2 linked regions of the Bombyx mori genome follow. The protein of the gene in region 1 binds, or shares a complex with, the protein of each later gene. Links are inferred from orthologs where the notes say so. Each region holds a gene or a part of one and is shown on either strand. Other genes may lie near its edges. The genes, in order: DNA replication licensing factor Mcm3 and DNA replication complex GINS protein PSF1.

What was found.
Region 2: DNA replication licensing factor Mcm3 (region 1) and DNA replication complex GINS protein PSF1 share a complex: the UniProt entries of both Homo sapiens proteins name them as parts of the CMG helicase complex. The link is inferred for Bombyx mori from reciprocal best matches to the Homo sapiens genes MCM3 and GINS1.

Annotation. Positions count from the first base shown.
Region 1 is NC_085112.1:2,202,963-2,207,478, forward strand, and holds the start of DNA replication licensing factor Mcm3, read left to right. Parts: upstream 1-1,486; 5' UTR 1,487-1,808; coding exon 1,809-1,880; intron 1,881-2,219; coding exon 2,220-2,497; intron 2,498-3,051; coding exon 3,052-3,226; intron 3,227-3,886; coding exon 3,887-4,125; intron 4,126-4,516. UniProt on the Homo sapiens protein: Acts as a component of the MCM2-7 complex (MCM complex) which is the replicative helicase essential for 'once per cell cycle' DNA replication initiation and elongation in eukaryotic cells.
Region 2 is NC_085118.1:17,161,011-17,165,252, reverse strand, and holds DNA replication complex GINS protein PSF1, read left to right. Parts: upstream 1-1,763; 5' UTR 1,764-1,893; coding exon 1,894-1,965; intron 1,966-2,227; coding exon 2,228-2,292; intron 2,293-3,131; coding exon 3,132-3,582; 3' UTR 3,583-3,698; downstream 3,699-4,242. UniProt on the Homo sapiens protein: Required for correct functioning of the GINS complex, a complex that plays an essential role in the initiation of DNA replication, and progression of DNA replication forks.

The sequences.
Region 1 (4,516 bases):
AGATACTTGTGAGGCAAGGACGCATCGTTATACCTACAGCACTCCGAAAAGCCATTCTTACATACCTTCATCGAGGACATCCTGGCATTTCTGCTATGAAAGCACTTTCACGTTACTATGTTTGGTGGCCTAACCTTGACGAAGACATAGAATTATTTGTCAAGAAATGTACCAGATGCCAACAGAACCGCCCTTGTAATCCTGAACTTCCTGTATTTTCCTGGTCCATACCAGAAGAAGTATGGGAGAGAATCCATATCGACTTTGCTGGACCGTTCGAAGGATCGTATTGGTTGGTATTGTGCGACGCTCTCTCCAAATGGGTGGAAATACGACCGATGAAACACATCAACACCAGATCACTTTGTCTTACATTAGATAACATATTTTGTACATTTGGCTTACCAAAAATGATTATATCCGATAATGGACCTCAATTTACATCTTATGAATTTAAAGAATATTGCACAAAACAATCTATTTTACATGTCACATCATCTCCATATCATCCTCGGACAAATGGGCTGGCACAACGTTTAGTCAGAACATTCAAAAATAGAATGGCATCGGTAGACAACACAAATCTCGAGCGCCGACTATTAGAATTTTTGTTTACATACAGAAACACTCCGCACTCGTCCACTGGTAAATCTCCAGCTGAGATGATGTTTGGACGACAATTGAACTGCATACTTTCCAACATTCGGCCAGACAAAAGAAGATTAATGCAGTATTTACAAGTAAAAGAAAACATTCGTACCACATCACCGAGTTACCGACCAAGTGACCAAGTATATATTAAAACACGCAATGATAAAATATGGGAACCAGCGGTAATTACATCCCGAAAACATAAATATTCATATATTGTTTCAACACCAGGAGGACTAGAAAAACGAAGACACGCTGATCACATCAGGCCACGCGAGTCCTCCACCTCAGAAACCCCGAGGAATGAAAGGGCGCATTCTTCTATGCTGCCGGCGACTGCTTCTCCAGACATTGGAATGGAAACAACAATTAACGAAAGGCTAACTAAAAACAAGAATTCAGCAGCAGTACCATTACCTACACCGCAGTCACCTACAAATGTACAAATTTCTCCAAATTCACCTTCACAGCATTCGAAGTTATACTCCTCACCTGCTCCGGTCTCCACTCCTGTGCCATTTGCTGCGCGTCGAAGTAATCGACGTATACAGGCACCCCGCCGTCTGATCAACGAGATGTAGATGGGGAGGAATGTTGTAACCTTCTTTTCCATATTCCATTATTTGAAATATACTTCGAACACATTGTCATTTTTACCATCTATCATTATTATATTTTTATGCTATGTCTTGAAAACATTGTTTTATTATATCGACTTTTATACCTTTTCGATACTTGGAATTTTATATCGATCGATATATATTGAAGTATTAAATAAAGCTCAAAAATAACTATAATTTAAAAAATTTATATCGATATATCGATGTATCGATATTTTTTCAACAAGCCTAGTTCGCATTGGCTATTTGCGAGAAATCGCGCCAACTGCTGAAATTTTTTAGATTTAACTTTTTGTGATAGTTATAATTTAGATAAGATTTTATTTGTGTAATTGTTAAAGTTTTCTATTAAAGTTTGAAATAAACCATAATATTCTAACGCTATTCATAGCAGTGATCGTGAGAAATATTGGACTCTACAACTCTCATCTCAATCAAAATAAATTCAACAATACGCAACGACTTTTTGATTTTGGTTAACTTTAAGTGTTAAAACAACTGAAACAAAATATAACAATTTTTAAAGCTAAGTTCAATATGGAGGAAGGTGATTTCGATCAACGTTTGAGAGACTTACAAAGGGAGTACCTCGAATTTCTTGACGATGGTGTGAGTTAATTATTTTTTGATATTAGGTATTGAAGTAAATGAAAGCTTTAAATTTTTTTCTGGTTACAATAAGTTTTAATATCTGAAATAAAATAATGAAGTATTTCAACCTCCTGTCCCATTAAAAATGGAGGCACTCATCTTTATAGATATGATTTTAAATAATCATAAGTGAAGTGCTTTGAAATTATAGAAGAAACTGATTTATTCTATTTTTTTCCGTTTCTTGTTTTATATTTTTTGTGGATTTCAATATTGCTAAGTTATCATAATCAATTTACGACACGTTGACAGCTTCTCTGTAATTTGTTAATATATAAATTAATTTTAAATGTCCAGGAAGATCAAGAAATTTATATGGAAAAAGTGAAACAGATGATAGAAGATAAATCAAAGCGCCTCTTAGTCAGCATCAATGACTTAAGGCGTAAAAGTCCTGAACGTGCCAAGAATTTACTAGAGAATGCCTTTGAAGAACAGATAGCATTCCAAAAGGCTTTAAAAGAATATGTGTCTTCGATAGACCCTACATATGCTAAAATTCAAGAGGAGTTTTTTGTGGCATTCTCAGGAAGTTTTGGTAACAAACATGTTACACCCCGAAGTTTGACATCTAGGTGGGTTATTACTTATAAACATGCTTATTAAAGTTCTACTGCTGAATTATGTCATTTTAATTTTAAGATGTGCTATAATTAACGAGCTTGTAAGGTTAAAACTAAGTTTGTTTTATGATATGTGATGGGTTCACCTAAAATTTATTTTTGTTTGTTTTCTGTGTGCAAAATTAATCTGTTTGAATATATATAAAAGTACTAGATTCAATGAAAAAAATATTTCATAATTATATAGTTTTAAGATTCAGTGCATACTATACATGTGGAGATGGAACAAGAAATTTACTGCTGAATACTACTGAAAATTTACAATCTTCCATAAATATTTGAGCTGTAAGCGTTTTTTTTATGATCATATACAAAAACAGAGGTCTAAAGTAGCTGAATAAGCTCAAACGTACAAAATGAGTCTAGATTTATTTACAAAAAATTGCATAAAAGAAAGATTCAGGATAAGTTACAATGTATTGTGCTTTAGATATTAGTCAGATTAGAATTGATTGAGAATATTATTTGTTTTTCTCACACTTATCTAATTGTTGTAATATTTCCAGGTACCTCGGAAATCTAATCTGTGTGGAAGGCATAGTGACTAGAGTATCATTGGTTCGTCCTAAGGTGGTCAGAAGTGTACATTATTGTCCAGTTACCAAAAAAGTGATGGAAAGGAAATATACCGATCTAACTTCATTTGAAGCATTTCCCACCTCTGCTGTATACCCTACTAAGGTCCATAGTTTAGTCATTAATTAAAATTAGAATAGAATAACAAGAAATTGTTAGTGAAATATAAAGATCTCATTAGACTACCTTCTAAAAAAACCTTCTACTCTGTGCTGAAGTAGTAGACTACTTCAGCACAATGTGGTATTTTCTCTGTATTTTGCCAGTTGTCGTAGACAGCTACTACACATTTGTTATTTATTTTGCTACTTCGACTACTTATTTTCACGACACATTATGATCAGAATCTGTGAACTAAACTTATTTTAAATGTTTTCAAAATAGGTAAAGATAAGCATAATTTTAACTGATTCTTTTGCTATATTGGATGACATAATAAGTTACTAATTTTAAAGTTATCTTACGATTTATAGATACATTAGCACTTCTATAATTGTAGTCAAAAAAATTTAACTTTTTATATCTTAAATGGGTGGACAAACTCACAGCCCACCTGGATTTAACCTGGAGCCCATAGACATCAACAAAATATCATCACCTACCTTGAGCCATGAGCTCTAAATCTCAGTTTAATAGTAGAATAGCTGTGTGGTCCGGTCCACCTTTCAAACTGTGTCATAGTAAAAATAGACAGGTTGGTGATATTTTGCCATTTGTGTCTGAAGTTTATGAGTAACATTTATAGTGTAACTCGTATGTTCATAGGATGATGAAGGCAATCCTCTAGAAACTGAATATGGACTTTCGCGGTACAAAGATCATCAGACCCTTACCGTTCAAGAGATGCCCGAACGGGCACCAGCTGGGCAACTGCCAAGAAGTGTAGATATTATATGTGATGATGATCTAGTAGACAAATGTAAACCAGGAGACCGGGTGCAGATTGTAGGGAACTATAGATGCCTGCCCAATAAGCAGGGAAGCTTTACTGCTGGAACATTCAGGTATGAAGAGAAGTTACCTTTTGATATACATTTTTTTTATTGCCTTTGTAGGCAGACGAGCATACGGCCCACCTGATGGTGAGTGGTTACCGTCGCCCATGGACTTCAGCAATGCCAGGGGCAGAGCCAAGCCGCTACCTTCCGCTATGAAATATACATTTGAAAAGGATCATTATAAGAATTTAATTAGGTTTTGTTTCTTTTGAATTGTCATCAATATGTGTCTGGTGCTGTACATTTTAAAGGACCACTCCAGTATATAGTGCTCAAAGTCCTTTACACACAAAGGTACCGACAGTGTGGGTATTCAAGAAAGTATTTGTTCTTCTTTTAATAAAAAGGATTGCTATTGACACTGAACCATCTTGGGTAACCAGCATGTTTTCTTAAA
Region 2 (4,242 bases), on another chromosome or scaffold:
TTATTGAGTAGATATTATGCATTCAGGTCAAAGTAGCACACATCACCATAGTCGATCAAGGGGAAAACCAAAGTTTGAACGAGTATTGTCTTGGTCTCGGGCGGAAGGAAATACTTCAGGTGGTAAAGCATACGGAGTCTTTACGACGTTATCACGTAAAACTCTCGTCCATAAGTAAACTTTATAGACAGCTGTGGACCCAATAGAAAGAACTTAAAATTTCCATTTGGTGTTTATTCTTTCATTTTACAATTATCGACTCTTCGGATCAACAAAACTAGAAGTTGTAATTGTTTGGTATTGTGGCCACAAAAAGCAGACGAACATACGTTACTCATTGAACAATTCCATTGCGTATTATGTGGGAGGGGGAGGGGGGGGGGGGGTTAGGGCGGGGGATATTATCTTGTTGAACACCCAGTAAAACGAAGTCACTTTTTGATTCCTGATTTAATCAACAATATGATAACTTAATTCACTTTAACATTTATCCAACCTTAACCAGTACGTAAAACAGTCACTTAATCACACAATGTAACAAGGATATAGTAAGTGCACCGAGCAAACGCAGTCGGCCGGGGCACCTGGCTTATCTATGAGTCACTCCTGTTGCACGTGCTGTTTTACGAGTGGAGTGACACGGCCGGCGCACCTGGCTTGTGTATGACTCACTCCTATTGCACGTGCTGTATAACAGAAGTAACGTTAACGCCGTCATAGATATGTTACTGCTTATTATTTCTGTGTGTTAACACAACGTAACGACATTGGGAATGTCGTTGGTGTAGAGAGCGTAGAGGATCGGTGACAGGATACCTCCTTGGGGAACCCCAGCTGTGGCTGGGCGCATCCACGATTTAGCGCTCTTGACCGCGACAAAAAGAGTTCTGCCCTCCAGGTACGACCCCAGTAGTCGCACGTAGGCGTGCTGGAAGTCCGTGTTCTGCACCAACTTGCAGATAAGCCCCGCACGCCAGACACGGTTGAAGGCCTTCTCGAAATCGAGAAATACTGCCGCCATGTACTGGCGTGCGTTGGACCGTCAAAAGGTGCATAACGCAGACCAATTGCAGCGTTGTTGAGTGACTGCTACGTATCCAGAATTGCTCGGGTCTGAGAAGGATGTGCGGAGACACTCTTCTCACCAGCAGCCGCTCGAACAACTTGCCCACATACGACAACAGGGTAATCGGACGATAATTGGAGGGCTGTCTTCTGTCCTTCTAAATTCCCGGGAAATATCCTGTAGACAGAATGTAATTAAACAGCCGTGTCTTAAAAGACACGACTGATTCTAGAAAGTGGAAAAATGCAAGGGTGAGAATACCGTCCTCACACAATGCCTTGCGCCTCTTTATCCGCTTGATAAGGAGGCGCAATTCAGCGGGAATGATGAAATCATCATGTCCCAGAGGTGGCACCGGGAGGTTAGTTTGCACGTCGAACACTTTGTTGAGTTCGACGAGTACGGTTATCAGGGTCCCTAAGTCTGCTCCTAATGTTAAAGTTGAAAGCGTCTTTGCAAGAGTAATTGGATCTGATGGTCGACCCGATAAGGAGAGTGAGATTATTATTGGCTGTATTGCTACTAAGTGATTATCTGTAAAAAGTTACTTGTATGACTTAGCTCCCACTTCTAGAAAATTTTAATATCTTAAGATTAGGTTTTGGTATTATAGATTTAAAGATCAAGGCTTCTGTGATTTTCGAACTCATCCAAAAATGATGCGTATCCGATCATAAAATGTCAAATTTACTATCTGTCACAGTCTTGAGCTGTCACTCATCAAATTAATAACAACTTTCGCGCCAATGCCAAAAATGTTTTTATCTAAATTATTAAAGTATTTTGTTTGTTATCTCTCTCATTGTTAAGTAAATAAGTAACACACAATGTTCGCAGAAAAAGTTATAGAACTAATTAAAGAAGTAGATAGAAATCCTGACACAATAGATCAATATAATGTAAGTTGGATGTGCCCATCTAGGTATGGGATTGGAATTAGAATAAACTTGTTATATCTAATGAAAGCTTTAAGTTACTATTTAATACCGAAACCAAGATTTTATCCGGTTGTCATCTATTCTGTTTGTCTATGCATATGCACTATAAAGTCAGAAATCCATTTAGAAGTGACAAGTATATTAAATTATTGTTATAGCACCGCCTATTATTATTTTTGTGTCTTTTAATCTTATAAAGTACATAGTATTTCACATGTTACAGGATGAAAAAATACGCCAAATAATAGAAGAAATGCATTTATTATTTAAATTGAACATGAATGATGCGTAAGTCACTGGTTTTCTACTAATATAACTGCAAGTAGTTATTGTTCAATATGCAAGATTTGCTATGATCACTTCTATTCTGTAACCTCCTATTCTGTTTCATGTGATGCAAAAGTGCTCAGGTAACCTTGTAACTCCAGGAAGGTCTATTTTTGTTTTTTTTTGTCAATCTATTGCTACTAACCTCGAGGGGTTATGCTAGCTTCATGGGATTTGAGGTAGCCCTGAGATCTCTCACCCAATTATGCAAAAAAAAGTTTTATGACTTTTTTGTTTTATAACTCTTCACATTCAAGCAGTTTGGATAACTTGCCCAGCAGATTTGATAGCTTTACTGGTTGTGCTTGAGTAGCACAGATATCTCACCCAGCAGATTTGTTACAGCACTACGGTTATGTATCTGCTTAAAAATACTTTAGTGGACAGGCTTGGCTTCAATTTCTAACCAAATCTTAGCTCAGCTTATTGAGTTTTTTTACAGTGTAGTTGTTTTTTAATAATAGTACTAATTATTGTTTTTGGTATATAAAAAAAATAGAGAAATGTGTGTTTGTTTGTTGATCTTAAAGTACTTTTAAAATGTTTCTCTAATTTGGCCAAAATCGGTCTGAGTTGCTGGTCCGCACAAACGAAAACGTCATTTAGTGCAAAGGGGTTAATATTTTCATGCACTTGAGTCTCATGTGGTGTTGTAATAAGGTTACCTGCTATTAGTCCATTTTAATTTAAATTTCAAAAATATGTAGTTCAATTGCTCATCAAGTTCATTTATAGAAGAAGAAGATAACAACAAACTGTTTTATGATTACCGCTTGTATTAATTGAATTACTATTTTTAGTAATGCTACAACAGAAAACAGATCATTGTGGACCACAGTTCAAGTAAGACATTCTGCCCTTGAACGCAATAAAAGGTGTATATTAGCCTATCTCTACAACAGAATGAAAAAAATTAAGACATTACGTTGGGAATTTGGTGCAGTACTACCTCCAGATATCAGAGAATTGCTTTCTGATGATGAATATCAATGGTTTTCAAAATACTCTGGAAATCTTGCTTTGTATATGAGATCTTTAGGCCAAGATATAGGATACAGTGGCATAGACTTGACTGAAAATTTAAAGCCCCCTAAATCATTGTTCATCGAAGTGCTTTGTGTTGTGGATTATGGTAAATTAGAACTTGAAGATGGTGATGTGGTTATGCTTAAGAAGAATAGCAGACATTATCTTCCTACTTCGGAATGTCAGACTTTAATACGACAGGGTATTCTGAAACAAATAATGTGAATTTATTTTATCAATAGTGAATTTTTGACCATTTTATGTTTTAAATAATATTGTGAAAAATAATGTTTGATGTCTGTATGGAAATAAATTTTATGAGAAGATTATTTTTACCATAAGCTTAGTGATTTGACTTGATTAGATTTGCACCTCCTAATAAAGCAAGTGTGTGTCCATTTTTTTTACTATCCCTGATGGGTGAAAGAGCAGTCATAGTGGCCTAAAGAATATAATGCTTGCTGTAGTCAAATCAAATGATGCAACAATCAATATCATCATCAGCCCCGAGGTCTCCTAATATCAGACTTCAGACTTAGAACTTTTGTTTAGGTGTGTGGCAGCATTTGCGTTTTTGATATTTACGTGCCCTGTTAATGAGCTGGCATTGAAAAAAACTATTTTCTCAAAAAAGATACAGCGCAGTTTTTTTTTTTTTTTTTTCCTACCTATGATGGTAGCCTTGAGGGCTCAAACCTGATGACGTTGCTAACACGAACCCTAGCAAGAGCCGTGCTTCGCAGAATCTACCACCGGATCGGAAACGCGACCCACTGAGAAGATACGGCGAGAAACTCAGTGGGCTGTGTCTGGGAGTTAATTTACTCGTCGAGCCCTTCGACGGGTTCGACGAGAACGGTGACCGGTGCTTGAAGTACCTAAAAG